6 linked regions of the Nothobranchius furzeri genome follow. The protein of the gene in region 2 interacts with the protein of the main gene of each other region in a pairwise test. Links are inferred from orthologs where the notes say so. Each region holds a gene or a part of one and is shown on either strand. Other genes may lie near its edges. The genes, in order: nedd9, nab2, phospho2, rfc5, nme7 and phf1.

Region 1 (4,648 bases), on a different chromosome or scaffold from region 2:
GGGTGTTTAATTAATCTTTATGAATCTTTTCACTTAGGGAAATACTTTTGTCTGGGCCGTTTTTACTGAATGTTTGGTGGATTTAAATCTGTAATCTTGTCTTTCCCAGAGCCACCAGCAGGGGGCAGCAACGCACTGACAGAAAACGGCCTGACTTCAGGTCAAAGGTCAGAGATGAAAACAAGACAGGCTTTGTTTGTAGGGTAAGCTAAAACCTTTCATCAATATAAAAGTTTATTTTAATGTAAAAATGGAAAAATTCATTTATTAATGTTTCTGTTCAGCTTTTGACTAATGCCTTTCACAGCCGCAGAGAAAACACTTCCTGTTTGCAGTTTTCTAGTTCCTTTGGGGAAATACCAGTTCTGATATGTTTAACAACAGTAATGTAAAAGTAATACTACTAAGGTAATATTTAGGTAGTATAATGCTTACCTTTGTTCATCCAAACACGTCCTTCGTGTTTTTTTGGTCTTTATTGGACTCAACTTTTCTCTACCTGCAGATTTTAAAGTCTAGATTCAAACTCTGCGGATCTTTTAGTTTTTACATTTGGTTTGTTTATCACTCTTTATGTTTTAGCTGCTCTGTAAAATGAACACTTCAGGAATTATGGTGCTGAAACCTTTAGAAAAATAAATGAAGTGTTTTATGTGCTGGTACCAGAACCTGCCGGTACCAGGACCGGGAGGAGACCAGTGAAATATTTTTATATAGCGAATCGTTGTCGATGCGTTTGGATGAAACTTCAGAGTCTCCTGCTTTCATCCGTCTCGCCTTGGACACACGTGCAGGCCCGGATGGAAGCCACCTCAAAGCGGGCCGAGGCCCGGCTGTTGTGGTACCGGCGAAGCCACGCGTCCCTCACATCCGGACCGCTGCGTTTCCATCTGCAGCTTCTGGAGGAACTGAGCTGTAATTCCAGAACCAGTCTGTGGCGAGAGGAGGAAATGACTCGGCAGAACCTTGGGTTCTGGTTCTGAGCTACTACCTGTCTGCTGAGCCCTTGGTACCGGTCCACTTCACTTACTCAACCCCCGTTCAGACAAAACCACAGAGTCTGATGGTTCCTGAAAACCTGCTGCAGGTTCTAAAGGCTCGGTTCTGATCGACCCAGTCAGGCCCAGACAGAAACTGGTGTTCAAAAATCTTGTTTATGGAAGGAAAATCTAAACGGCCGAGGGGTTCTGAACAGAGCCGGGCCAAACGGGCTCCGGTTGCTTTTCAGGAAAGGTTGGTAGTTTGAAAACTTGTGTCAGTAAGACGAGTCTGACCCGTGTTCAGATTAGTTGTTTACTCTGAGACGAGCTCCACAAACAACAACATCTACAGCTCATAAGGTGCTTCAGACACAACAGGAATGTTCTGAAAAGTCCACAAAGTTCTACGGAGACACCACGACTGCACCTACAGACCATAATACAAAACTATCTACAGGAAACAGCTGATATTTACACACGCAGCCAGGAGGAACATCACGACGAGGCCATCTGCAGCAGCTGCTCCTTGAACTGCCGCGCGTGGTGCGACAGGTCCGTGACCCGGTCCACCATCTCCTGGATGGCGGCCGTGTTGGGGTAGTGCAGAGCGGCCGTTTTGGTGGCGGTGACCACCGTCTTCAGCAGGTCACACAGAACGTTGCTGGAGTTCATGACCCTGTTGGCCAGCTCGGGGGCGGCGGCCTGCCGGGACAGCGTGTCCCCGATGAAGACCAGCTTGTGGGCGCTGAGGATGACAAACTTGCTGTGGGCGACGAAGATGCGGGGCGGCTGGCCGGCGCTGACGCAGCCGAAGAAGGCGTCCACGGCGCTGAGGAGGGTGACGAAGTGCTGCTCGCACTGGGCCGAATAGAAGGCGAGCAGCTGGCGGTCCCGAGAGAAGACGTGGACGGAGGACGGGTCCGACGGAGACGCGCTGATCCACTGGGGGATGTCGTTCTCCACGGGTTGGATCACTTCCTGCTCCAGCTTCTTGAACTGATTGATCTGTGAAGCAACCAGAGGTCTGGTTATTCTCCACCAGAACCAGAACTAAAGCCCGTCCCAAACATCTCCCAGGTTCTGATTCTCTTAAACCTTCCTCCTTATCCACACCCAGTTCTCCCGTCTCACCTGCTCCTGGCCCAGCTGAGCCGGGTTCTGCTTGATGATGTTTTCCTTCTCCAGCAGCTCCTTCTGCTGACGCTCAAAGTCTTCTTTCCCCTGGGAAGAAACGGGAACAGGATGAGATGAGCCGGTCCCACGGCTGCGGAGCAAGGCGCTTATACTTTACACTTTAGGTTATCAGAGGTGGTGTTTTCTGTTTGACCCGTTTACCTAAAACTCTACAGTTAAACGGTTAAACCCGTAAAAGGTTCTGACCTGCAGGTGGACGTAATCGTAGTCCTCCATCCAGCTCTTCACACACTTCTCACTGTTGTTCATGCTGTCTTTGTCCTGGCCCGGGGGGGCGGGGAAGGCCTTGGTCCGGCCGCCGTAGTTGTCGTTCTCCTCAGGCGTGCTTCCGCTAGAGAGCGACCCGTCCGCGTGCGTCCGTCGGAACAGCAGCTCAGCGTTCCCAGATATGGTGGAAGTCAGCTGCTTGGCATCGTCTGGAACTGTCCTGGACACCATGACGAAGCGGTCCAGGTCGTCGCTCTTGTGGTGGTGCGGTCGGGATGAGGCCAGGGCCTTCTGAGCCCAGCTGGAAATCTCCAGAGCGTGATAGGTCTGCAGGAGGATCTGCTGAGAGTCCTCCAGGCGTCCCAGCTGCCGTCGGAGCTTACTGTGCAGGCTGGAGTCCGACAGAGACGTGGCGTTGGCCGCGGCTCCTCTGCAGAATGTAGTAAAGTCCACCACGGTGGCCCGGACCCGATCCAGCACCGCACGGACGTCGTTGGCCTGGCGCTCCATGAACGGGAATGTCCTCCAGTGAGGGGAAGCTGTCATTGAATGCAGCGCCCCGACAGAGAGGTCCAGCGCCTGCTGCAGGCGGTACAACTTCTGCACAGCAGCGTCCACGTCCAGAACCAGGCGTCCCTCGGAGCTGGACCCGGCTGAAGACGAGGACGTGGACATGCTGCTGCGCGTGCTGCCGGTGCTGGAAAAGGACAGGCGGTTCACGTTGTCTGTCACGTCCGCTACCGCGCGAGCTTCCTGGACTGGAACGTCGTAGATTCCCTTGCTTCCGTCAGTGGCAGAGTTTTTGAGCTGGGGGGCCGGCACGCCCCGGGGGAAGTCGTAAACGTCCTGCTGGGGGTCCAGAACCGAAAGGAGAGCCGTCGGAGGAACATCGTAAATGCCTTCGCTCCGGTCGGGGTTCGGGTTTTGGCGGAGGGCGGCAGGCCCGAGGCTGGGGGGGAAATCGTAAGGAGACTGATGGTTGGGGGTGGGCTTGGTGAGGGAAGGGGGCGGGACGTCATAGATCCCTTCCTGTTTGTGTTTGAGGGGCTGTGGGAAGTCGTAGTTCCCCTCCTGGAGGGCTGCGTTGGTCCTGCAGCTGGGCACCGCGTAGATCTGTGGACAACAAGATGATTAGAGATTCTGATCAACAGGAAACAGACTCTGCCGGTCCGATCTCCTTCCCGAACCTCAAACGGGCACGGAACGGGATTTCAGGATTTTATCCTGAAGTCATCCGAGTCTGCTCCAGACTTACGGATGGTCCCGCAGAGCTCCCACACCACTTCCCAGTTTTCCAGCCTGGATTTAGCTTGAGCAGCAGCAGCTTCCCGGCTACTCGGGAAAAAGCGACGCGTTTAAAACGTTCCCGACTGTGGCGAAGCTCTGACCCTGCTGCAACCCGACCGCTCTGCCTCAAAGCATCCTGGGAGCTCAGCGGGGGGAATTAGGCTGTGGGCTGTAAGTGATTTCCATCTGGAACAGCGAGACGGGAGCAGCCAGCTGTAATTAGGAGTAAGAGCGGGTCTGAGCGTGTTTCATGTTATTACTAACAAACCGCCTCGGCGGTTCTGATGAAATCTAAGAGCTTCTGGAAATAGAAACCTTTTGACAGATGAAGTTTAAACACAAAGCCACAGCTCTGGGAACTCTACTGGCTGCCGAGGCGCTCGCTCAGAGGAGCCGCAGGAATCTCATAAACGTCACCGACTCATTTACTACCGACAGTAAAAGGCTCGGGGGCTGCGCTCTTACCCCCTGCGAGGACGGGGGCACGTCGTAAACGCCTTGTGTTCTGGGCTCCACTTGAGACGGGGGAACGTCGTAGACTCCCTGGTTCCTGGCTCCGCCCGGCTGACTCAGGAACATGTGACCTGGCGGAACGTCGTACGTCTGAAACAGAAGAGATGCTTTTAGAAAAGGATTAAAAACAGAGTTCAGCAGCTTCAAACAGCAAAAAGATGGAATATTTAGGAATAAATAATAAAAGTCATCTGATGCCTAAAGGCTGAGTTTCCAGGTTTTTGAGCCAAGCCTGGAGTTCAGGAGGGAACTACAGATTTTCTCTGGCTGCGGGTTTGGGTCAGAACACCGGGGTCACAACAGGACCTCCTCCTCCTGATCAGGTGGAGAACGCATCAGGAGGGGACACCTACCCCCTGAGACCTGCTGGGCGGCACGTCGTACAGGTCCTGCTGGTTGTGCTGTCCGGGGCCGAAGGCGTAGGACTGTCCCGCTCTGGTCGGGACCACCACCTGTCCAATCACAGC
Region 2 (4,199 bases):
AAGGCGGAACCTTTGTCATTGCACAATTTCCTTGTAGACCGAATATCACTGACGCACACAACAATGGCTACTAAAAAGGGATAAAAACAGACAGAAGTTGCCTTGATTGGACTGATGCAGGATTTAGGAAACACGTCCTCCTCTTTTCTTTACTTAGAAAAAGTAAACTTCCAGACAGCAACGGAGTCCATGTCGCAGACATTTTTCAGAGATCGTCTCTGCTGCGGCTGCCCGGTGGCACCGGAAACTTTAAAAATGTTGCGGTAAGCTATATTTTTAACATTTACGTAATATCTGTACAGGGCTGAAAGCACCAGACAGAATAATTCTTTGCCCTAACAGTAGTTAATGAAAGTAGTCAAACAAATGAGAGGCACCTGGCTGCAGCTGGGAAAATGGTCCATGTCCTCACTACTCTGATTTTAGTTGATTTGGGTCTTGTTTCATATCACACAGTGACATTTGAATAATTAAAAGGCATTTTTTAAATTAAGAGCTTTAGTTTACAGTAATAACCATGTCTAATGTTTGATTCTCTGTCTCATAATTTTAATTACAAGTTTTGCTTTGAGGGCACATTTTTTTGAACGATTAAAATGTGATTAATTTAGATTAATTAATTACAAAGCCTCTAATTAATTAGATTAAATGTTTTAATCGAGTCCCGGCCCTAATATATATATATATATATATATATATATATATATATATATATATATATATATATATATATATATATATATATATATATATATATAATTAGTTATTACAGAAAGGGTTTATTAAAGTTAATGTATTATTTGGCTTAAAGAAGATGAATGTAAGGGTTTAGGTGAACATGAATGTGATTAAGCAAGGGTGCCCTCCCCCACCCACTTGACCAACCTTTGGGACCGCCACTGTTCACATTTATCATTGATTCATTTTTCCTGCCTTGCTGTTGATGATGATGCTGGTGCCACGAAATCGTTCAGAACATGATTCAAATCTGACATGTTTTCGGTTCTAACTATATAATATAATATATATCTGATTCAACAGTCGCGTTAACCTTTTTCTGACGTTTTTTCTTAGACTTTCTTTGTCTTGGAGAACAGAAACAGGTTCAAGCAAAAACCCGTGTTCACGTGTGGGCTCCTACATGCAAACCCACATTAGTTGATCGTTTTTAACCTAATGGTGACTTCAGGTCTGGGGGTCTTTGTGGTGGTGAAACTGGGAATCCCCCACAGCGTGTGCGTCAGGAGCCGTGAAGACGCACAGGGTTAATTTCAAGCCCCCACCACCGCCGCCCACATCCCCTATTTGAAAGCCGCCTCTCTACCGGGAGAGGAAGGCTCTTTTTCGGTCAGATGGCGTGCTGCAGCCCGCCCCCGTCATTCTCCAGCCCACACAGACAGCAAAAAGGCAGCCAGAGCCAGCAACCAATACGGTGCGCCGGAGGAGGATTTCTGCCAGTGATATCGGACCAAGCAGCGACGCGCTAAGGGGATTTACTACGGCGATCTGCGGCGTGGAGGCTGTCGGTGAAGAGGTAAGAGGAACGAATCGGATGTAGAGAAGGACGACGTGTCGCTGAGCAGGGAGTCCTCTCTGACATCTGGCTCAGGATTGGCTCAGTCTGACTGGAGCCAGTCACCCAAGCAGCTCACTGCTTCACATCAGAACCATAAGGGAAAATATTTGGCTTCTTTCACAGTTTTATTCCAGGGAATAAGACCAGACTGCTTTAAGTTTCAACTCATCTGAAAAAGGTAAGAAAGATTCAAGAGTACTTGGTGCACGTTTGTGTTTTGCATGAAAAATATCATGTTTTTAATCCTAGAATCATGCAAAAGTTTTTGTGCTTCAGCCTGATAGATGCATTTGAAAATGAGCTGTCTGGATATTTAACATCTCTGGACTTTTCCACTTTGCAGGTTCATGTGTTTCCTTTCTCCTGCCTGAACTTTTCCAGTGCCGTGTGCCATGTCTCTGCCACGCACACTTGGGGAGTTGCAACTCTACAGGGTGCTGCAGCGGGCCAACCTGCTGGCCTATTACGAAACCTTCATCCAGCAGGGCGGTGACGATGTGCAACAACTCTGTGAGGCTGCAGAGGAGGAGTTTCTGGAAATCATGGCACTAGTTGGCATGGCCACCAAGCCGCTGCACGTGCGTAGGCTGCAGAAGGCTCTCCGAGACTGGGCGGCGAACCCTGCCCTTTTCAGCCAGCCTGTCGCCAACGTTCCTCTCGGGGGGATCCCTCTGTTCAAAGTTGATGGGACGGGCACTAGTGGGTCAGCTGGCGGGCCCAGAAAGCCTGTGAGTAATGGGCAGCCTGGGTCGCCCTGTGAGAGGGAGGATCGGGCGTGCCTCACCCCAATGTACAGTGGGAGTCCAAGGAGCCCCTGCTCCCAGGCCTCTCCTCAACCGCCAGAAACACACTACAGGGAAAAACTGTCCCCCATGGACCCCCACTGGCTCAGCCCAGAGCCTGATGGTAATAGCAATGTAGCTTCTGCACCTGGAACAGAGGAGGAGGCGCCCAGCCCGCCACTACTGTCCACATGTCCTCCTGGTCCTTCAACATCTCCTGTCCCATCTGCATCATTCGCCCCTTCGGCTCTGTCAGCCTGGCCTGGAGGACAGCTGGACGGGGAGACGGCGAGGGCCGTGGTGGAGAGCGTGGAGCAGCTGTTTAGGACCCTGCCCCGGTCTGATCTCACAGAGGTGAAAACCCTGCTGAGGATGAACAAGAAGATGGCAAAAACTGTGGGGCACATCTTCAGAATGGGTTCCCAGGATGCAAACAAGGAAGAAGAGATCCGGAAATACAGTCTGATTTACGGGCGCTTTGACTCCAAACGGAGAGAAGGCAAGCAGCTCTCACACCACGAGGTAAAACCTAACAAGCACATCACCCGAGCTCACGGATCGCTAAAGTGACAACAAACCAGATTTTATCTTCACCTTGTGACCTTAAATGTTGATTTAAAGCCTCCATCACTCCTTCATTCGGTGTCTCCTCCTCCCCAGCTGATCATCAACGAAGCTGCAGCTCAGTTCTGCATGCGCGACAACGCTCTTCTCCTCAGACGGGTGGAGCTGTTTTCTCTGGCTCGACAGGTGGCCAGGAAATGTGCCTACACCTCCACACTGAAGAGCACAAGGTGAGTGAGGTAGGGGTGAGCGATGAGGATTTGACCCACACAAACACACCTGCTTCACACGAGTTTCAGATCGAAGCAAAGTGTTAGTTAGACGTTTTCAGTTGTTTTATTCAGATTTCTTCTGTTACAGCTCAGGTTTTATATAAAAAGTTAATCAGGTAAAAAAAGAGTACACCTCAATTCAATTCTAGAATTTTGGGGCAAGCATGGGGCAACGGTGGCACAGGAGTTAAGTGCTGGCTCCATAATTGGAAGGTTGCAGGTTCGAGCCCCGCTCTGTCGCTGTGTCTTTGGGCAAGACACTTAACCCACCGTGCCTGCTGGTGGTGTTCGGAGGGACCGGTGGCGCCTGTGTACGACAGACTCACCTCTGTCAGTGTGCCCCAGGGCAGCTGTGGCTACAATGTAGCTCATTACCACCAGAGTGTGAATGTGTGTGAATGGATACATGACTGTTTGTGTTGTAAAGTGCCTTGGGGGGTTCCAGGACCGTATAAAGCGCTTTATCAGATACAGGCCATTGACCTATTTATTTATTTTTAACCATATTTTGATTCCAAAAGTTGACGTTCTTTAGTTTAAAATCCCAGACATGGCCTAAGCACTATTGTTTGCTGTTCAGATTATTGGGATTATTATTATAATTTTTTGGTCAAATTATTAAAATCTAATCAGAAAAGTTAGAGAATAAAGTTATAAAAACACAAACATTATTTTGTTGCAATTAAATTTTGAATCAATAAATCTAGTTGAGGAGACACTGAATCATCAAACTTCAGTTTAATGAGCTAGAAACAGTATTTTTACATGTAAAATTCCAGGTAATTTTTTTTTTACCAGTAAGTGGCTATAACACTCCATCATACATCTCATTGTTTACATTAAAATTCAAAAATGGAACGGTAGTTCATACATTTTTGGGAATTTTGGCAGAATTCTTATTGCAATTAAAAGTTTTTATTTTTTTATTATCTTCTGCAGGCCGAATGCGGATGAGAACAGCAGTTTGTGTAATAAGAGACCAAGACATGAGGTAAGCATTTACAG
Region 3 (5,201 bases), on a different chromosome or scaffold from region 2:
ATATAGTCATCGTACCCTGAGTAAGTCCTATCGCTCCTACGACTTCATACTTGCTTTTAGCTCCTGGAGGATCTTGGAGCCACTGCTCCAGACAACAACGTTAGCTCTAACGGAGGGGCTACCCTCCTGAGTTGTCGCCCTGGCTAGCAGTTTCTCCAGAGTGAACCCCAACCTGGGCATGACCACATCATTCTCCCTCAGGCAGGACGTAGGGCAGAAATCGTTCCCACCGTCTCCCACATAAAAGATCCGCTCGTAATCTGTGCCACCAGCCGTTTTCTCTGAAAGGTAGAGCTCCAGGACTTTCCTCTTGCAGAGGTTGACAGGACATTTGTTGCAGTCGTGAGAATGGTAGTGCTGCACCTCCATCCAGCCAGACTCGTTAAACCTAGCCGGGTTGCTGAAAACCTGGTCCACAGCTGACTGAAGTCCCGCCGCTGTCAGGACCCATTCTATAAACAAGGAGTTGGCATCAGAGATGACAATGCAGTCAACTGTGTTTTTATTCTCTGATATAAATGTCAGCAAGTCTATCATTCCAGCGGTGAGGGGGATGGTCTCCATCACAGCTCGTACCCTGTCAGGACTGACCCCCTGGTCTCCTGTTTGAATTCATGAAAAAAGGATCACAGCTGATGGCTGAGCAGGAAGGAAGAAACAAAACACAATAAAATATCATAATGAACTCTAACCGATGTACTGCATCACTCTGCACATGTAATCCGTCCAGTGGCCCTTTCTGTAGGAACACTTCACAGAGTTTGGAAGATTTTGGTTCGGAAGGGACCTGAAAACAGGAAAAAAGTGAGATTAATAAAAGGATAAATGGTTACCCTACTACACTTTCCTATCTACGATGATATTTGGATAACGTCTGATGTTTATTACATACTGGATCACCCAGATGTCACAGTTGTCATCAACCACAGTGTGGTCAAAATCAAACACCATCAGATGCTTCATGTTTTCACCTGGAAAAAATGTGGTTTTGAATAAAGACACACAAATAAAGTGAAATAATCATCATCAAGGAGTAAAACAGGTTTAGTGGCTGAACTGTAAGCACTTTCATTTTCTATAACTGCTTATTTTAATATGCCGATTCAACCACGGCTGCGTTGTTAATATGATCTGATTTTTGCTTAAATTATCACAACAATAGTATGTTTTTAAAAGCTAGTATTATTTTAAGCAGGAGTTTGGCGTAGCTTGTCCAGCCTAATCTTCCGGATTAAAAACGAATGCAAAATGCCAAATTTGGGTAGAGAGGACTCAGCATTGAGTACACGTGTTTCTAAGGCCGAATTCATAGTTAGTTACTTTACACAAATCAGAATATTAAAATATAAATTATTACCGGTCTGTCTGTCACGAGTCCGACGGAAACAGCGGCTGTAAATATGTGCAACACATTTCTGCTCGCTACTGCCGCCTGCTGGTTGTTTCGATGCATTACTAGAACGAGATCATGACGTTGAGATAGATTTCATCAAATGTCCTTAAAAATATCGTCATTATCTAATTATTTTTGATGTAATTTTCTTGAATATTTATGCAACAATAATTAATTGTTAAAAAATCACAGTAAACGAACAAGAACAAGCTCATTTTTGCTCTGTGGCCACTAGGTGGTAGTATAATTCAGCTCTGACAAATCATAAAACAGAAGAAGAAACCCTGCCCCTTTACTTCCTGGTTGCATAAAATAATCCTCGCACTGTTTAGTGTGATATATTCTGTCGTCACCTCTTCTCTGACGAGTTTAAATTTGTGAACCAGCATGTTCAAAGGATTCGGGACGTGGTTGGGTCTGGAGAAGACGTCGGAGGAGAACCTGAGAGCGGAGCAGGAGGAAAAGGTGGTGGAAGCCCAGAACGACGTAAACAAACAGCAACCAGCTGACCAGGATGGGGAGGCAGAGACAACGCAGACAAACACTCAGCAGAACAAAGGATTTGGTGGTGAGGAACAAACTATGTCTCGCTACTCTATTGATTAGTAAATGTCTTTAGAGAAGTTTAACGCTTTTTTTCAGAAGGTAGCGTTTATTATATCATCTTAAACCCGAACTAAAGGTTTCTCCATTTGTTGTTTTCAGCCAAGTCAGCTGAGTTTAAAATCTGCTGTTTGCTTCTTGTTTAAATAAACGTTTCTGTTTTTATCTCCTCTCCTGTTTAAAGACTACATCTTCAGCTTTGCCTCCAACGCCACCAAGAAGCTCTCTGATTCTGTGGTGGAGACTGCTCAGAACATCAAGAAGACAGTAGAACAAGGAAAGATCGACGGCATCATAGACAAGGCATGGCGGGATTGCTGGCCACGTTTTTGAGCCCTTTAGGGCAGGATTTCGTGTTATCTGCTGTATAAGTTAGATGACTGATTACGTGTTTGTGTGTCTTTGCAGACTATTCTAGGGGAGTTCCAGAAGGAACAAGAGAAGTTTGTTCAAGAGAAGAAAGCCAAAAAGTCAGGTAAAGCCAGATGTGACGTAATCACAGGTGTGTCACCATTAGGTGGCATTTTCAGGTCACCGAAAGCCCTGCTGACCCTGTGTGTTAGGGTCAAAGTCCTCGCTAGATGAAAATGACCATCTAATGAAAATGTTTGAAAATACATGAGAAAAAGCCGAATAGATGGATTGAGTCACTTAAAATGAGCTCACACACAAGTTAATTAGTACTTTAACACTTGCTGATAGGAGGTAGAAAAATATAAAAGGTTCACAAAGTTTAAATCTGTTTTAAATGACTGTGTATAAAATTCTTGACTTTAGGAAAAACATAAACAGGAGCAGATCATTTATTCCGTGTGAGGGCTTGAGCTAACTGATCGTTTAGAAACGCCTTCCTGGAGTTACAACCTACTTTTTGTGAAATTGGGATTTTTGACTCTTTTCACAAATCTAATGAACTGAGAACAAATCGTGTCTTTGTGACGGGCTTCTGCTGAGAAGCCCTGAATCTTTGCTGTCAACAGGAAGGTGGCTCATCCCTTAAGTTTAGCTGTCTTGGATGCCCGAATGATTTGCATGTCTGTGTTGAAGAAACGGAAAGGAAAAAAAAGACATTTCACAAATATACAGCCACAATATTAGGTGAAGTCTAAAGAAAATGAAGATCCTTTGAAATCCTGGAGAATTATTGTTCCAGAAGGAGGTCTGAATGACTGGAAGTGACTCGCTGTTCTCCATGGAGTCATCAGTACCAGTTTATAAACAGACTCGTACATTAGAGTGACTGTTTGGCTAATTGATAGCAGCCCATGTTTCTAGTTTTATTATTGTCCCCTTTTGTTAGGGGGGGGGGAGACTATGTTGGATCAATAATTGTACAGAAATGCTGATAGAATATTTGATAGATTATTAGACTAGTTTCAAGTAAGATACTGTTATTATTTTGCCCCAATGCTCCATTAGCTTCTATTAGCAGGTTAGACCTGAAAGAGGACGTCTGAGTCTCACCTTAACTCTTCGTTGTGGTCCTGAGAATCAGCTGAAGTTATGTGGCTCCATCCGCTCTTATCGTAACATGTCCTTTTAGAAGAACTAGGCGTGTGTGTGTGTGTAAAAGAGAGATAAGAGTGTGTCAACGTGTTTGTGTAGAAGCAGCAGTGCCTCCATGGGTCGGCTACAACGAGGAAGAGACGATCCAGCAGCAGATCCTCGCTCTGTCCGCTGTAAGCAGCACCATCCTACTACAGTGGTGTCTCTAACCAGCTGTTTGTGCAGACACTGACCTCTCTGGGTGCTGATTGTAGGACAAGAGGAACTTCCTGCGGGACCCTCCAGCAGGTGTTCAGTTCCACTTTGACATGGAGCAGATGTATCCTCTGGCTGCAGTCATGCTGGAGGAGGACCAGCTCCTCAACCGCATGCGCTTTGACCTGGTTCCTAAGCAGTAAGTGGTCTTTCTACATCGTGTGTGTGTGTGTGTGTGTGTGTGTGTGTGTGTGTGTGTGTGTGTGTGTGTGTGTGTGTGTGTGTGTGTGTGTGTGTGTGTGTGTGTGTGTGTGAGCAGAATGTGGGAACCACTTCTGAGACAGGGGCAGCAGAGATAACATACTGTAACTTTTCTAGATCTTTGCTGAACTCTGTTGTGTCAGATGGTGAGGCAATAAACAATCTTCAAAGCTTAGAGGCTCAGCAGTATCTACATAGTAATAAGTGGAGTGTGTGTATGCTCCAGCCGGGTATCAGATACAATATAAAGCTGCATCGTTGACTATTTTGTGATGTCCTTGCCGAAGTTTTGGAACTTAGGTTAAAGCTGGTGGTCTGAACACACGTTACGTTATTACTCAGAAAATTGTCCACATGAAATCATACCTGTTGTTGTTGTTGTGAGGCTGCTGTCATGTCTGTTTGCTACCCAGCTTCTCGTCTCTGGAGGTTTGTCATATCTAACAACAAAGTAGGATGCAGGTGTTCCTGTCTGGGTATTTTCACAATAAAATGAAAGAAATGCACAAACAAAGTTTTTGGTGGTTTTCAAGTTAAGATTTTTCAGCCACATCCTTCTGGGTTCCTCATCTCTGGAGAGGGGGTGGGGTAAACCAACGCTGGCAGCCACACTCTCTCTCTTCCTCCAAAATGCATGCTCTAAGCATCGCTCAGATTTAAAATCCTCTGATTGTTTGTACAACAAACTCACTTGGAGGCCAGGCTTCCCTGCCTCTTCCCTGTAGATAACCAGAGCATCACTCAGTTCGCTGTGGGATGTGCTGAGCAAGATGGTGTCGTCGGCATACACCAGGTCAGTCTGGTGGTAGCTGCCTACGGTTCACTCTGAAGATCCGTTCACAGACCTTGCACATCAGATGGTCGAAAAGGCAGTAGAAGTCCTGCTGGGCACCACTGGAGATGGAAAACCAGTCAGAGTGGATGCAGCTCTGTGCGTTGCTGTAGAGAAGTTTGAACAGGGCAACGCTCTTGGGTGGTGCTCCAAGTGCTTGTAGGAAACTCCACAGTGAGTTGTGGAAGACTGTGTCAAACGCAGCCTTCAGATCAATAAACCCGGTATCGAGGTGTCAGCCTTTACGGAATTCATATTTCACCTCTATCAGTAGGCGAACGGCAGAGATGTGGTCTGTAGTGGCTCGTCGGGCACAAAGACAGCCTGCCGGGGGTGGCGACTGCACCTGATAGCTGGCAGGTCACGGGTGAGCATAATCCTGGTGAAAAGTTTGCCGGGGATGGAGAGAAG
Region 4 (5,134 bases), on a different chromosome or scaffold from region 2:
ATTTGAGCTGACCATTGCGATATTTATCTGTTCTTTGCAATATGCATATCGTGCATGCAGATATCGCGATAACGATATATTTACGACATATTGTGCAGCCCTACCACCACACATTAGGTGGTGGTGAAGGATACGGTTGTAAGCAGTGTTGAAGTCTTTGTTGAGGCACCAGTCCAGGATGTTGGCGATGTCTGAGCGAAGGGGCTGGCCCGTACAGGTGTACACCGTGTCCTCCGTGACCTTCCCGTACGCCATGCTGGTGCTCTGAAATCCCAGAGAGAGCACCAGTTTACCCCTCTACTGATGTGATGATGAACGCTGTGGCGACTTAACACTTCCAGGTAGGGATGCACCGATACGATACTGGTATCGGCACCAATACCAGTATCGGTAAAGGTTAACCGATACCAATGCAGTTGTTTGAAAATGGCTTCACTGTAACTTGTCATTTCTGTTCACCTAATATTTTAGTTTTGTGATGATTTCCATTCATATATTTTACTTTTTATCTTCCTCACAGTCTTTTCCTGTTGAAAGCAGAGAAGAAAGTAAAATCTGTATTCCAAATCATTGCATTTTTTGTGTGGTAGAAGTATCGGTAATCGGTATCGACGAGTACCCAGATCCAAGTATCGGTATCGTATCGGTTTGGGAAAAAAGTGGTATCGTTGCATCCCTACTTCCAGGCGATCGAAAATGAACGTCTGGGCCAGAAAGAAAGCAGATTTAAGTCGTACCTGCAGAATGTTGAGCGATCTTCTCATATCACCAGATGATAACGTCACAATGGCCTTCATTCCATCTGGAGTCACTTCAACGCTGCCACATGTTAAAAAAGTTATCCGGTTAATTTTTAGTTTAAATTAGTTCCAATCCATCCGATTAAAACCTAAATATAAATCTCTTAATGAAACGCTTTAGTCTAAATTCAAGTCCAGAATCTTTCCTAAAGGAGCAACTCTGATGGGAAGACTTGGGAAAAGGCCTGGAGAAGGTTTAAATGCTCTGAGGTGTGAAAAGTTCTCCAATCCATGCACTTCATGCGTCTGCATGAAAGCAAAGAAAAAATAAAAATGTTTAAAGTCGTTGAAAACACGATGGCATAAAACGATCATTTGTGATTTTTGGTATCTTACATTAAATCAAATGTTTGCAATAATTAGGGGAACTTAAATGTTCACGTGGAAGAAGAAGCTCAGAACTCTGACTTCACCTCAGATGAACTCATCTGTGATTTTTGGGGCAGGTTTTACCACAGCAGCTTCTGCGGAGCTTAACGACCTGCTGAACAGGTGATTCAAGCATTGAATCAGGTGTGTTGGAGCAGAGAAACAACTAAAACACGCTGGACAGGGCCCCTAGAGGACCAGGATTGGGTGCAAAAACCGAATCTGCAAAAGAAAAGAGAAGAAATGTTCCTACTTCTCCTGCTGGATAACGTGCTCCAGTCGGGGGACCATCTGGTCGGGAGAGAGCGGGCCGAAGCGGAACCTGGTGCAGCGAGACTGCAGAGCGGGGATGATCTTCGACAGGTAGTTACAGATGAGGCAGAATCGAGTGTTTTCTGTGAACTTCTCAATCACTACGACAGAGGAGGTCGGCACAAGCAGGAGACGTTAAAACTAACGCAGCGAACAGAAAGTGTTGCTTGCAGTAGGAAATGATTGCAAACATTTTAAAGTTCTGATAAGAATCACAAATCATCACCGTGGGTTTTTGTTCTACCAGCCAGCATTTCTAAACCAAACATGAAAAGGATCAAATATTCTAAAGCAAGACAGGGTCTGACAGCATCTTTTCTATGCATGCCTCAGTTAAATACGAGTAAAATTGCAATCAGCAACAAAACCCACAGCGACCAGCAACAGGAAACATGTTTTCCCATTTCCTCCCAGTTTGAAACTCCTAAAAGAATCCGTTTGGAAACAAATCTGGCTTTGGAAAGCAGATCCACCATTTTAAAAGCAGCCAGATTATGAGGATGCTCAGTCAGCTGTGAGGCTCACAGTGGGCGGCGCCCTGGAGAACAGATGGCTCACCTCGGCGCAGTGCATTCTGGGCATCCTGGGTCATGGCATCGGCCTCGTCCAGAATCACCAACTTGAAGCCTTTCCTGAAGGAACAGAAAAGATGACAGCCGTACAGGTACCTGCAAAATCTCAGAGGTTCTGGGTCCCAAAAGCCCTTTTAGTTTGTTTATACCCACTTAAAAATAGTCCTGGTACTAGCAAAGCTCAGAATGGGACCTCGTACAACGTCAATCCCTCTGTCGTCAGACGCGTTTAGCTGCAAAGAAAAAGCAAAGTTTCTGAACAATCTCCGAACCCTCGTGAGGTCATTCCAGCACAGGAAGAAGCCCTGAACACTCATGAAAGTGTTTGTTTACCTCCAGCACCATGGAATTGAACTCTTTATCCTTGTACAGCTGCCTGGCGCAGGCAAGGATCGTGGAGGTTTTGCCTGTTCCAGGGGGACCGTAGAACAAAAGGTGGGGAAGCTTGTCTTCGCTGATGAACCTCTGGACTGAAGGTAATAAAATAAGTTATTAACAAAAATAAACTCATTTATAAGTATGAAAATATAATTTCAAACACACGAAATCAGAGAAACGTTTATTTTTATCATGATTTTAGTTACTAAAAGTAGAATTTTATGATGTGAATATTTATTTTACACAGATGAAGCTTCAGGAAAGAAGACAACAACGTGTTTTACTTGCAGATACTCACGGGTACTCAGGATATCTTTGTGTGAAATTAAATCGTCGAGGGTTTGAGGTCTGTATTTTTCTACCCTGAAATACAAAACAAGTGCGTCAGTTATATTATAAACAATAACTACTTACTGAATGATTAAAGCTTGACAGCACAGAAAGCAAACATATTAGCTCAAATAAAACCAATCTGTAGATTCCGTTGCCATTTTAATCATTATTGTCGAACCTAACAAGGTCTGTTTGACGAGTTTGTGCAACGGTAAAAGGTTAAAGTTATGATGGGGGACACAAGTGTGAACACTTCAGCTACTAGCATGCTAGCTAGCTAGCACTAAGCACCTTTGCGTAATTAAACACGCGCTTTCTGCTCACCAAGGTAAATTCCGAGACTGCAACGGGACTTTACTCGTAGACGCCATGCCTCCTGCAAATGAACAATAATCACAAATAAACACTAGAATTTTAGCCTGTTCGTTAGCTTGTAACCCTGCCTTGTTTTGCCGCGCTCACGAGAGAAACGTGCGTCAAAACGTCAATACGTACAACCAATTGGATGACGGTATTTGTCTTTGTAGTGGGCGGGGTCACTGTGGTTAGTTGAGCGCTGCAAAAAGTTAACACAACTGCGACTAATCAGTACGCTGCAAGAAATGTCAAACATTGTTGTTCCTCTTCAAATTCGTTTAAATGTCAAACTTTTTCTTTTCTCATTGCAAATAAATCACTAGAAACCAATAAAACCAAAAATATTTATCCAGCTTGATCAATTATATTAGCCAGAATGTCCTGAAAGAAGCACAACGTAAAAACAATTATGTCAGCTATTTCCAGATACGACGACGATGATGATGATGACTAGATGTTTGTCACTACCCACTTTGTACCTAAACATTCTAATTTCTTTAGAAAATGTGTTATGAGCTATGCCCGTGTTAAGATTTACCTAAAATAGATCACATTTTTCATGTAAACACAGGTTTATGGTTTTATTGTGGTTTAAAGTCCCCTTAAGTCAAATAACCCCGAGAAAATTAATATAAACCTAAGTTTGACCTTAGCCTCATTTTGATCTTTGACTAAACAATCTATGATTTTTCAGCGATGCTTGCACTGCGATCTTTTTAATCAAATATATATATATATATATATATATATATATATATATATATATATATATATATATTGTGTGTGTGTGTAAGTGTGTAATAAGAGTGCACATATATGTGGCGTTGATATGAGTAAATGAAATAGAATAAAAAAATCTTTGACTCGGACATGAAGAAAACCCGTTTCTCATCCAGGCCTGGAGTTCTCGCGAGAGCGGCCCCTCACGGCGGAGCCTGGGCGCTGCTATGCTGTTGCTGTGGGTTTGATTGACAGGAATCATGTCGGTGTGGTGGGAACGTACCGGGATGCTGCTGCTGCCCAGGGAGACACGGAGGACCCGCATCCAGCAGCGTTAAGCGCTCCAGACTTCCCTCCGAGCTGTCCGCTTACGATGCGCTGAGCCACATCCCTCTTTTCCTTTCTTTTCTTTTTTTTCTTTCAACATCCTTCTGAGAGGAAGAGGCACCCAATGGATGCTGTGTCAAACCGCGCAGTCCAGCTCGGTGTCTTCATGCTGCATCTGATTTAGCCCACCTTGATGATCCAGCAGGACTGATGGAGGCGATGGAGTCGACTCTGTCACGGCTCAAACCCTGAATCCAAACCCGCAGCATCTCTTTTCATGGCGTTCTGCAGGTCGCTGTACTCCGTGGGCTCCTCCACGTTTATTTCCTTCAAATAATCTTTATCGTTGTCATTTTTCTCCTGCAAAGAGAACTATCCACCCACTGTTCGCCAAACAATGAACGAGGAGATGACAAAAAGCGAGGAGCAGCATCTGAGTTTGCAGAAAGCCTTGCAGCAGTGCGAGTTGGTGCAGAACATGATAGACATAAGCATCTCTAGTTTGGAGGGTTTACGGACCAAATGTGCCACATCCAACGACTTGACGCAAAAGGAGATAAGAACGCTGGAGGTAAGCTTTTATTGGTGTCTCTTTTGGACGTGGTGCATCTCCACCTCCATCCATCCCGAGGGCTGCCACCGTGCTGTTTTTAGGCCACTCTGCATATTTATGTGCATTTTTCCAGGGGGCATTGTGCTGCCAATGCATTCATATGCAAAGATCTCCGCTAAAAGCTCGCCGCTATCTGTTTTATTTGTTTGTTTTTTTGTGTGCAGTGCAATGAATCAAGAGGCCACGGTGCGTCTGCAGTGGGTTGTTTTACAGACTTGCGCATTCTGCAGGTGGCGGGGATGAAGGTGGCTCTTCATCAGAGTATGATGCGAGGCCTATAGGCTGCCCGTGTTTACAATCCATTACCAGCAGACGACAGCCTGCGCATCTGCTGTGGCAGCGTGTCCCAGACC
Region 5 (4,648 bases), on a different chromosome or scaffold from region 2:
TTGTGGGCGACAGTGGAAGAGGAGTTGCCCGCCTCATAACCGAAGGGTTGCAGGTTAAGGCCCCGTTCAGTCTCAGGTGTGTGTGTGTGTGTGTGTATGTGAGTGTGTGTGTGTGTGTGTCTGCTCCATCTTCTCGATCCCCAGTGAGTGGAATGGCTGCTTATACTGAGTAAGGATGCTCTGGAGGTTTCTTCCTGTTAAAAGGGAGTTTTCCGCTCCACTGTCGCTGCATGCTTGCTTAGTATGAGGATTGCTGTAAAGACTCTTGACACTAGTCAGTTTTACTGATTGACTTAATGAACTGACCTGTACTGGAATGTTTACTGTGTGAAGGTGCTTGAGACGACTCTTGTCGTGTTTTGGCGCTTTATAAATGAACTGAACTGAAAGAAGTTGTGTCCTTGGGCAAGGCACTTGTGGTGGTTGAAGGGACCAGTAGGGAGTGTTTACAGCAGCCTAGCTTCTGTCAGTCTCCCAGCTGTGGCTACACTGAAGCTAATCACTGCTAGTGTTTGAACGTGTGTGTGCGTGCGCGCGCGCGCGCGTGTGTGTGTGTGTGTGTGTGTGTGTGTGTGTGTGTGTGTGTGTGTGTGTGTGTGTGTGTGTGTGTGTGTGTGTGTGTGTGTGTGTGTGTGCGCGTGTGTGTGTGTGTGTGTGTGTGTGTGTGTGTGTGTGTGTGTGTGTGAATAAAAGCTGTGTCGTACCCTAGAAAGTGGTGTATAAATACAGGCCATTAACCATTTGTTACAACAGACTGAAATGAAGGGATTTTATTCCACCTAATGGACCCTAACCCTTTCACAGTAACACTGAGCAGCTTGTTAGTTCTACAGCATCGATCTGTGGGAAGCATGAAGAGTCGCTGTTAAAGCGCTAGAGTTTACAGACCTTACTCATTTCATGTGAAACAAACACAGAAAAATAATAATCACCATTCCAAGAGCTGAGATCTCAAATCCAGCTGCAGATATGGAGTTAAGAATCTTCCCAGTCAGCCCTGTGAACACATGATGCTCATCAGTCTTTATGAGCCGAGTTTACACAGAAGGACAAACACGGTATTTTAGTGCTGCAGCAATCTCAGATGTCGTCCAGATCAAATAACACCTGAATCCACTGCTGCAGTGAAGCATCTGACTATCGTGAAGTCCGGATGCATCACTACTGAACGTGCTTCTGCTCAGACATCAGCGGTACATCTCAGTGCACTGACCTCAGTCTGTCCTCTGGACAGAGTGAGATAGTCTCGCTGATGTGTTGTCTATCGAGGGAAAGCATTTTTGTCCAGGCAACCTTTTAGGAAACGAGATAGTGAACTGTACATCCCATCAAAGAGCTGGGTCTTTGCTGTAGAAGTGGTGCAGCTGCAGTGACTCTGAAGGTCAGACTGCTGCAGACACACAATTGAATCAAGGCGCCAGTCTCGTAATCTCAGTCTGATAAAAAGTAGCTTGTGTACCTGTCACCCAGGACGGTTTTCATTAACTCTAAATGCTGCAGCGCAGACGTTCAATAGGAACCAGGCGTAGCCGCCGTCTGTGGATCTCTCCCTCCCTACGTCACAGTCCAGTTATGTGCACTAGGTAATAGCCTGAGTCCTTTGTGCCCTCCCCAGGACTGCACAGGTTCCACACACTCCTCGCAGCGCCACAAAGCAGCTGCTGCTGTTGCTAGGAGATACTATTCCAGGAGCCTGGCAACAGAAGCTTCTCTATTCCGGTCATGTCTGAGTGAATTTTCACTCACAGCGTCCTTCATGGCCACGGTGACAGGCCGTCTTGACGACATAAATGAGCTACTGAAGAGATTTCTGAGGGGAGATCAGAGCAGAGCTTTTTGTCGACCTCAGCTGGACAAATCATTCAGCCTGGTTTCTATTCTTGGCTCGGACCAAATATATCACGGCTCTGAAGGTAAACAGTGTGGGAGTCACTTCTAGCAGTGAAACTGACGCCTGAGTAGGAGCTTTGAAGTTTTAACAATGCCACACTTTCTGAGAGATAACTGATTCGTTTTAACTGAACTGTTTTAAGAAGCGCCAAACTTCTTGTAGCACATCAAACACATCAGCTTAAGCGAGACATTGTTTAAGATATGTTCTGCTACGGATCAGCGTTCATGGTTCCATCATTTACAGGAAGTGGCCCAGGTCCTGCAGCAGCAAAACTGCCCCAGACCATCATACCACCATCACCATGCTTCACTGTTGGAATGAGGATACTTCACTGAAATGAAGTGTTAGTTTTACACTAAATGTAATGTGAGATGAGTCTTATGGATTATTACGGTCAGTAGAACCTCTCTGTCGCCATGGTTGATTCATGACCTCTGACCTTAATGAGGTCTGCAGTGCTTTGGTGATGTTGGGTTCTTTAGACCAGAGCATGGAGATCTTTTAGCCTACTTCATGTTGTTGGACAGGTTCTGTTGAAGTTAGTGGCAGTAAGCAGGCCTGGGTGTGGCTGGTGAAACTCACCCCAGCTCTACAAATATGTTTAATCACAAATAAATCAGGACGTAACATGGGGAGCAATTATTGTTCCACATAAAACTACTTTTTTTAAATTTATTTGGACCCCCTAATGAAGGAAACCTTCATTTGAAAACGCCGGGGTTTGATAAAAAGTTTATATACGAGCACAGAGCACTATCACTGTGACCTGTCAGGAATGATTAACACAGCCAACAACCACCGGTATTCACTGAGCAAATGTTGAAATCCATGCGTTCGGACCGAGCTGGTTTATCACCGCGGCTCGTTGCAAGCTTAACTGTTGCTCAACGGTGCCTTGCAGACAAACAAAGCATGCCCACTTGTATTCTCTCTCACCGCCTCCTTTCTCAAGCCAAAGATTTGAACGTGCCCTAGCAGGCTAAGCGTGGCTGTAACTGCAGAAATAACAAAAGTGGGCGATCTGTTCTGTTTAGGTGCAGCATGAAGGCAGGCCAGAGAGCAGCGGTGCACAGATACACCATGGCTTTATTATCGCCCAGAGGCAGTGGACGGAAATAAGCCTTGCTTTCACAAAACCTTTATAATGAATCATTTTGTCGGTTTTTTTTTCTGACTTTTCTGACTCTGGGGAATACAGCAATAAACTCAATTTCACTTAGGGGTGGAAAATCCCTTTAAGTTTATTTCAGGGACCATTGAGAGCGTTTCCATCGTAAATGCAAGGGTACATGAATTTATACATGTATGTGCAATATAATGTCACGCTGGCTCAAACTGAAACATAAAGACAGTCAGATACCAGAGAAATGATGAAACTCAAGATACAACAAGATATTAGTGGATCTGTAGTTATTACTGTATGTTCTCTGCTGTAAGTGCAGAACAAAAGCTGGGGTCCACCTCCAGTCAACAGCTTTCTGTGTGCAAACATCAGCTCTGCACAGAATTTCACATTTCACAGCTCAGAGCTCTGGTGGCATGCCCCGGGAGCAGGGATCAGCACTGGGATTTGGAAAAATCCAAGGCCATTTTGGAAACCACATGGTGGCTTTGTTGGGGAGGGGGGGGGGAAACAAGCCAGCAGCACAGGAACTCAAAATAACAAAATACAAATAAAAGTGAGATATTTTGCCATGCCTGAGTGACTCCTTACCTGCTGATACAGCGTGGGGTTTGATGATACAACAAGTGCAGTCTGTGAACAGGGCTGTGTTGGAGGGGCCATGGCCGACCGTGGAAGGAAAAAAGAATTCCAGCTCCTTACAAAAACAAACACACAAACTTTAATGATCATGACCGTTCCAGGAAGTGCGATTCTCAGACTACTGAAGGCACAAGAGAGCGAGAACAAAGTCAAAATCCTCACTCTTGCTGCTACAGCTATGGAGTCAGAGCCATGGGCCACATTTTTGATGGCGTCTGTTCCAAACTGTGCACGGATGCTCTGTGGCGCCTCTGTTAACGCCACAGCAGAGTCTGCAGGTCCCAGGAGCTCCCTCCAGATCGACAGGGCCTTGTCACCCACCAGCTCCATGGCAACCACTGGCCCAGAGGACATGAAGTGCACCAGCGCACTGCAAAACAGAGTCACGTTGGAGCTGATTTGAATTTAAAAAACTCTAAAATGTCACCATCACAGGTTGTGGTCGGAGTGCTAGATGGCAATCACAACCCTTCTCTGCTCAGAACTGGGAGATCATTTACACGAGCACTCACCTGAAGAAAGGCTTTGACTGATGTTCCACGTAAAAGTCTTCCGCTTGGCTCCTGTAAAGCAACAAAACCATCCACCAAAGTCAATGGGTGACCAAATGATGCAGCACTTCTCACATGTCTGTTGGCCAGATGACTGTTATTAACAGAGTTTAGTGATAGCGGTGATTTGCTTTGGAAAAAACAATAACAGCAGAAAAAAGAACATTTTAGTAATAACTCAAAAGTATTTTCCAGAGCGCCGTTCACAGACAAGATTAGCACAAAGCGCTGCACAACTGGACGGGACATTGTGTATCCAAATAAAGCTGAAATTATAAAAAAGGGAAAAATATACATCACAGTCAGATCCATCGTGATCAGGGAGAACGTGACAGAAGAGAAAAAATAACAGCAAAGGTTTAACAGAGGGAGGCCTGGTTGAACAGGTTGGTTGTCAAATGTTTTTATGAAAGCCTCTCCAGCCTGAGTTTGGACAGA
Region 6 (4,648 bases), on a different chromosome or scaffold from region 2:
ACACAAACTTAAACCGATGGACGAGATGAATCTCATCCGGCTTTTTCACCCAGACTCGTGTCTGAATGATCTGTTCAGCTGTTTTTCCCTTTTGCTTTAGGGTGATTTGATGTTCCTGGATCTCTCCACATGTCCACCGATCATTTAGGATAATGAAGACGATTCTTTGAAAGGGGAAGCTGTCTCAGAGACGTCTTAGTCAATTTCACTCTGGCCAGCCGCTTTAAACAAGATGATTAATGTGTTGTTATGAATTTTGATAAATGGTCTGTTGATCCGCAGTTTCCTGCTCCATAAAACTGTTTCTTTTCCCAATTAATATGTTGGTCAGATTGATGAGATGTAGCTTTGTAATGTTCATTTAAAAAAAACTTTTTATAATTTAACCACCAAACATTGAATAACAGACAATTCTCTCCTGATATTAGATTCAAATAAATAAATAAATAAATAAATACAAAATGAATAATAAAAATATTTTCTTCATACAAACACAACAGAATTTTTAACTCCACTTTTATTTTGAAAGATTTCTGGATGTTTTACACTGCGTTCATGTTTGACTTTCTGTCTGGCCCAAGCTGAATTTGACATGTTCTGGAAGAGTATGTAGAAAATAGACTTGAAGCATAGGCAACTCATACATACGCTTCTGGTGTGCTTCCTAAACGTAACGCTTATTGGGCCAATGGAAACACACTCATTCACTATATTGGTGGCTAACTGCTGCATACTACGTGCATTTGTGTCTGGTGGAAAGGCTCGATAAGGCAGCGAATGTCTGGATTTATCTTTATTTATTACAATAAACCTGTGTTGTCAAGTATTTCAACTAAATTTATAATAAAAAGGTTGTAGAGCATCAATGTCCTTTGGTGAGTTGCAGCACAAATCGTGTCATTAGAATTTTAAATGTGTAAACCTAAAATTGCACTAAGCCATTTCCTCAAAATAGTTGCAAAGCTCAAAGTTTAGCCTCTGAACGCCAAACACTTAAAAAAAAAGAGTGAGACTAATGAAACTGAAGCTGGAGACCAAATTAAACTCATTTGTGAGCAACTGGAGACTAAGACATGACAGTCTGACATTAAGAGTGTGGCAGATATGCTAGAAAATGAAGATGAAGCGTAAACGAATTACAAAACATTGCAAATTAATTTTAAGAATTCAACTTTCACAAAAACACTCAAAGTTAAATGATGTTTCAACTAATTTGCATATGTTCTTGCAATTTTGCGTCTCCAACTATTTGCCAGGAATTTCCTTACTTTGTTACGTCTCTCATCAGGGACACATTGTAACAAATTTATTATCAGAATTCAGACATTTTCACCATTCAGCTGAAATATTATTGGTCCATTCATTTTGAGGTTTTCCGGGGTCAATATAAGAGCCAGTTTGAGTCTCTTATGAAACACAGCTGGAGTTCAAAGTTTTTAGACACACAAACGTCAACCACTCACTCCGAGTAAAAGAGCAGCAGGTAGGTGTGAGTCCATCTGCAGTATAATGAGAAAACGACTTCTGGATGGAAACTTGGTGTCAGGAAGAGCAACAAAGAAGTCACTTCTATCCAAGAAAAGAATCAGAGACAGACTGACGTTCTCAGCCAAGGGAGGGGAGTCACTCAGTTTAGCCTGAGAATAGCCATGAAGAAAGAATGTTGCCTAAACATCCTCCCTGAGGAACTCCTTCAACAATCCAGGAACAGTCACAACTAAGTGGCTCGGGGAGCCAAATATCACTGAAATCCAAGCACCATTGAAGAAGAATGGGCTGCTACCAGTTAGGATTTGATCCAGAAGTCAACTGACAGCATGTCACAGCTATATCGATGTCATTTACGCGTTTACGATCACACAAAATCCCACTCTCTTATGGAGCTAATAACTGTTCTAAAGTGATTTCATTACAAGAACATCATATAACTAATCACTTAGCAGGCCAGCTGACTGATCCAGATCTGTTTTACGGCCATGCAAAATTCAGTGGATCAAAGATAGTCCTTAATGCTACAAATAATTAAAAACGTATCTTTTGAGACTCATTCAGTCCAATTAGAGATGTCCATATGCAGATTAGTGATCTGTCACCTACCTGTCCCCGTAAAGCAAAGGCTTCATTAGACACTGTGTGCAGGCCTCGTGAAACCACTGACCACAGCTTCCACACTGCAGCATCTTCAGGTTCCACCTGCAGCCCAGCAACAAGAAAACCCAATCGACATTAAACTCATCTGCACAAAAATGTGTCCACCACCAATTACACAATGATTCTGGGTTCACATACAACAACAAAAAAATACTGCGTTTGTTTTATTCTGCAGATAAACAAAAATAAATAAATTAACGCCAAGTAAAACAAATCGCTTTGCATTCAGTTTATTTCACAACATGACGTCCAGCCAATCATAAATAATCCAGAGGACGAGCCAGGTGACAGAGCAGACATGAACAGTGTGTTTAAACTCACTCTCCAGGTCCGGCGCAGTAGCAGTAACACTGCTGTTGGTTGGTCAGATGCTGCGGGTCCCAGTCTAAAGACGACAGCTGGTAGGGGAGACGGAGTTTCATGAACTGCATGAGTCGGGCGAAGCGTCCTCGCTTCAGAGCTCCGCCTCTCTGGGAAAAAACAAATTTGGGACAGAACTGATTGCACGTGAGCCATTAAATCTTTTTGAATCAGTAGACATGTCCAAAAACAAAGACACCATCTTGGGGCCATCAAGGGGCCGCAATATTTATAGAGGAGCCAAGTATTAATCCTACAACTAAACTAAAGATTTAACTCAGGAAGTTCTTATTTGGCTGATTAGCGCCACTTGTGTTTGGACTTGGAATCGTATCCACCTAACATCTAATCACGGACAAAGGATAGTTGAGAGGCAGCCAATCAGATTTCAGCAGGAGCTAATGCCTCTGTGGCTCCGCCCGTAGAACCTCCAGTGAAATTATCTCATTTTATTGTAGGTTATTCATGAAAGCTGAATTCTTTGGCACCAGAATTTTTGAGATCTGGACTTTGACAGATCGATAATTGCTTTTTTTTTTCATCTTTCAGGTACAGAAATGGAGCACATGTGATGGATTGACTTTAAATGTGCTCCTGATTTCCTGTAAACCAACATAACTATCGATTGTCCACAGTTCCTCAGACACAATGCAGAGCGCCTCATATCAGAGCCACTGCTGAGAGAAGGAGTGTGTTTTCAGCCTCAGATAAACACATTACATGCAGCACACAGCCTTGATGTATTTGACAGGATTCCTCCATTATTCCAGACTGAATGGTGTTTTTTATGGGTGAGACGGAGAGATTAGCAGCCTGACCTTGGTTGCGACTGCAAAGACACATTGACGACAAATCCACGAATCGCTGTCTGCTTCCAGTTCGATAGTCGGTGTGTGACACTCCGGATGATAACCTGTAACAGAGGAGGAGGCAGAGCGTGTAATTTGTCTTTATAAGACAGACAGCCAGGATGACAGTAATGGCAGAGCAGCTCCATTTTAAAGACTTTGGTTTTAAAGGCATGCAGAACATTTAGCAGCATGTAGGTAGGGAGCCATGTTTGCTTCTCACCTTCCTCAGACTGACACTAACCATGTTTGCGCAAGGCTGCTGTAATGACATAACCATTTCCTGCATCTGCTGCTGGGCATTTTTAAAACCTGCACATCTGATGAGTATGAAGTCAGTGTGAAAGTGGACAGATATTGTTTTATCTGCTGCAGATACCGATTTTGGGCCAATTTTCATGGTCAATATCTAAATGTTTTCCAACATTTTTGCATGCTAAAGTGTCATTAACACCGGCTGATGCACAAAATTTCTTTAGTTGAATCAGTTTTTGAACCACTGCTCAGTGTTAAAACCAGACGTTTAACTAAAGTTAATCAAACAAATCAATGAACTGACCAAGTACTAAATATTCAAAACTGTTGAGTAAAAAAGAAATTTTAGTTGAAAATATCTTTTGGAGCTTTTATTATGAAGATGTTTGTTTTTCCAGGAACATAAATTTACATTTAAATTAAATTCTACAGCTGCCTGTGGATGTGTCTGACTTTAAAATCGTACATACTAAGGAGGTATTTCAGCCCATGCTGATAAATAATAATGTCAAATATCAGCCCAATGTATCGGTCGGCTGATATATCAGTTTACCCTTTCATCAGAACGTTTTGAATGGAAGCCAGTTAATTCAAAAATACAACATTTAGGGTTAAATGCTCACAGTTCAGTAAACTTAGAAAATACAAGTTTATGTTTCTGTATGATCATAACAGCTGATGCCCACATTTCTTTAGAACTGAAGTGTTTCCATCCCCACCAATTGTAGACAGCGCCCTGAACAGCCTCTGTTCAGGGAAATGAAGAGTTTACGTTCTTCAGGATTGATGAGCTAACAGGTAGTAAGAAATGTGATGCTGCCATATTAAAATGGCTCCAATCTCCTAAACCTTATATCAAATTTTGTTTAATAAATCTTTACATGACAAAGAATGTATCTTACAAAGACAAAAGTTTGGGCTCTTACTTCCGGGACAAAATTTATTCTGAGTTGTTTAAAGTGATGGAATGTATTTTTTCTGGCAATAGGGGGTAGCAGATACCCAAGTCTTTGACAAACACATCAGACTCCCCC

What was found.
Region 1: the proteins of nab2 (region 2) and nedd9 interact in binary tests that used the Homo sapiens proteins (3 or more experiments, as listed by UniProt). The two-hybrid records come from large-scale screens. The link is inferred for Nothobranchius furzeri from reciprocal best matches to the Homo sapiens genes NAB2 and NEDD9.
Region 3: the proteins of nab2 (region 2) and phospho2 interact in binary tests that used the Homo sapiens proteins (3 or more experiments, as listed by UniProt). The two-hybrid records come from large-scale screens. The link is inferred for Nothobranchius furzeri from reciprocal best matches to the Homo sapiens genes NAB2 and PHOSPHO2.
Region 4: the proteins of nab2 (region 2) and rfc5 interact in binary tests that used the Homo sapiens proteins (3 or more experiments, as listed by UniProt). The link is inferred for Nothobranchius furzeri from reciprocal best matches to the Homo sapiens genes NAB2 and RFC5.
Region 5: the proteins of nab2 (region 2) and nme7 interact in binary tests that used the Homo sapiens proteins (3 or more experiments, as listed by UniProt). The two-hybrid records come from large-scale screens. The link is inferred for Nothobranchius furzeri from reciprocal best matches to the Homo sapiens genes NAB2 and NME7.
Region 6: the proteins of nab2 (region 2) and phf1 interact in binary tests that used the Homo sapiens proteins (3 or more experiments, as listed by UniProt). The two-hybrid records come from large-scale screens. The link is inferred for Nothobranchius furzeri from reciprocal best matches to the Homo sapiens genes NAB2 and PHF1.

The regions. Positions count from the first base shown.
Region 1 is NC_091759.1:25,491,820-25,496,467, reverse strand, and holds part of nedd9 (enhancer of filamentation 1), read right to left. Parts: intron 4,634-4,648; coding exon 4,535-4,633; intron 4,272-4,534; coding exon 4,134-4,271; intron 3,495-4,133; coding exon 2,361-3,494; intron 2,202-2,360; coding exon 2,112-2,201; intron 1,986-2,111; coding exon 1,476-1,985; 3' UTR 1-1,475. UniProt on the Homo sapiens protein: Scaffolding protein which plays a central coordinating role for tyrosine-kinase-based signaling related to cell adhesion. As a focal adhesion protein, plays a role in embryonic fibroblast migration.
Region 2 is NC_091743.1:50,555,446-50,559,644, reverse strand, and holds the start of nab2 (NGFI-A-binding protein 2), read left to right. Parts: upstream 1-1,399; 5' UTR 1,400-1,534; intron 1,535-1,699; 5' UTR 1,700-1,754; intron 1,755-1,919; 5' UTR 1,920-1,968; coding exon 1,969-2,880; intron 2,881-3,018; coding exon 3,019-3,152; intron 3,153-4,133; coding exon 4,134-4,185; intron 4,186-4,199. UniProt on the Homo sapiens protein: Acts as a transcriptional repressor for zinc finger transcription factors EGR1 and EGR2. Isoform 2 lacks repression ability.
Region 3 is NC_091749.1:29,516,097-29,521,297, forward strand, and holds the start of phospho2 (pyridoxal phosphate phosphatase PHOSPHO2), read right to left. Parts: upstream 3,553-5,201; 5' UTR 3,461-3,552; intron 2,472-3,460; coding exon of another isoform or gene 2,405-2,471; intron 2,300-2,404; coding exon of another isoform or gene 2,181-2,299; intron 1,962-2,180; coding exon of another isoform or gene 1,781-1,961; exon of another isoform or gene 1,677-1,780; intron 1,474-1,676; exon of another isoform or gene 1,358-1,473; intron 972-1,357; 5' UTR 964-971; coding exon 893-963; intron 788-892; coding exon 693-787; intron 603-692; coding exon 37-602; 3' UTR 1-36. Other genes in the region: syap1 (synapse-associated protein 1), read left to right, coding at 1,781-1,961, 2,181-2,299, 2,405-2,471, 3,602-3,675, 3,757-3,896. UniProt on the Homo sapiens protein: Phosphatase that has high activity toward pyridoxal 5'-phosphate (PLP).
Region 4 is NC_091750.1:34,476,585-34,481,718, reverse strand, and holds the start of rfc5 (replication factor C subunit 5), read right to left. Parts: upstream 3,472-5,134; 5' UTR 3,136-3,471; coding exon 3,089-3,135; intron 2,795-3,088; coding exon 2,730-2,794; intron 2,524-2,729; coding exon 2,387-2,523; intron 2,287-2,386; coding exon 2,207-2,286; intron 2,114-2,206; coding exon 2,040-2,113; intron 1,583-2,039; coding exon 1,423-1,582; intron 820-1,422; coding exon 738-819; intron 265-737; coding exon 135-264; intron 1-134. UniProt on the Homo sapiens protein: Subunit of the replication factor C (RFC) complex which acts during elongation of primed DNA templates by DNA polymerases delta and epsilon, and is necessary for ATP-dependent loading of proliferating cell nuclear antigen (PCNA) onto primed DNA.
Region 5 is NC_091756.1:61,686,232-61,690,879, forward strand, and holds part of nme7 (nucleoside diphosphate kinase homolog 7), read right to left. Parts: intron 4,223-4,648; coding exon 4,172-4,222; intron 4,030-4,171; coding exon 3,822-4,029; intron 3,715-3,821; coding exon 3,609-3,714; intron 998-3,608; coding exon 933-997; intron 1-932. UniProt on the Homo sapiens protein: Possesses an intrinsic kinase activity. Displays 3'-5' exonuclease activity with a preference for single-stranded DNA. Does not seem to have nucleoside diphosphate kinase activity.
Region 6 is NC_091745.1:62,314,632-62,319,279, forward strand, and holds part of phf1 (PHD finger protein 1), read right to left. Parts: intron 3,425-4,648; coding exon 3,330-3,424; intron 2,622-3,329; coding exon 2,473-2,621; intron 2,194-2,472; coding exon 2,098-2,193; intron 1-2,097. UniProt on the Homo sapiens protein: Polycomb group (PcG) that specifically binds histone H3 trimethylated at 'Lys-36' (H3K36me3) and recruits the PRC2 complex. Involved in DNA damage response and is recruited at double-strand breaks (DSBs).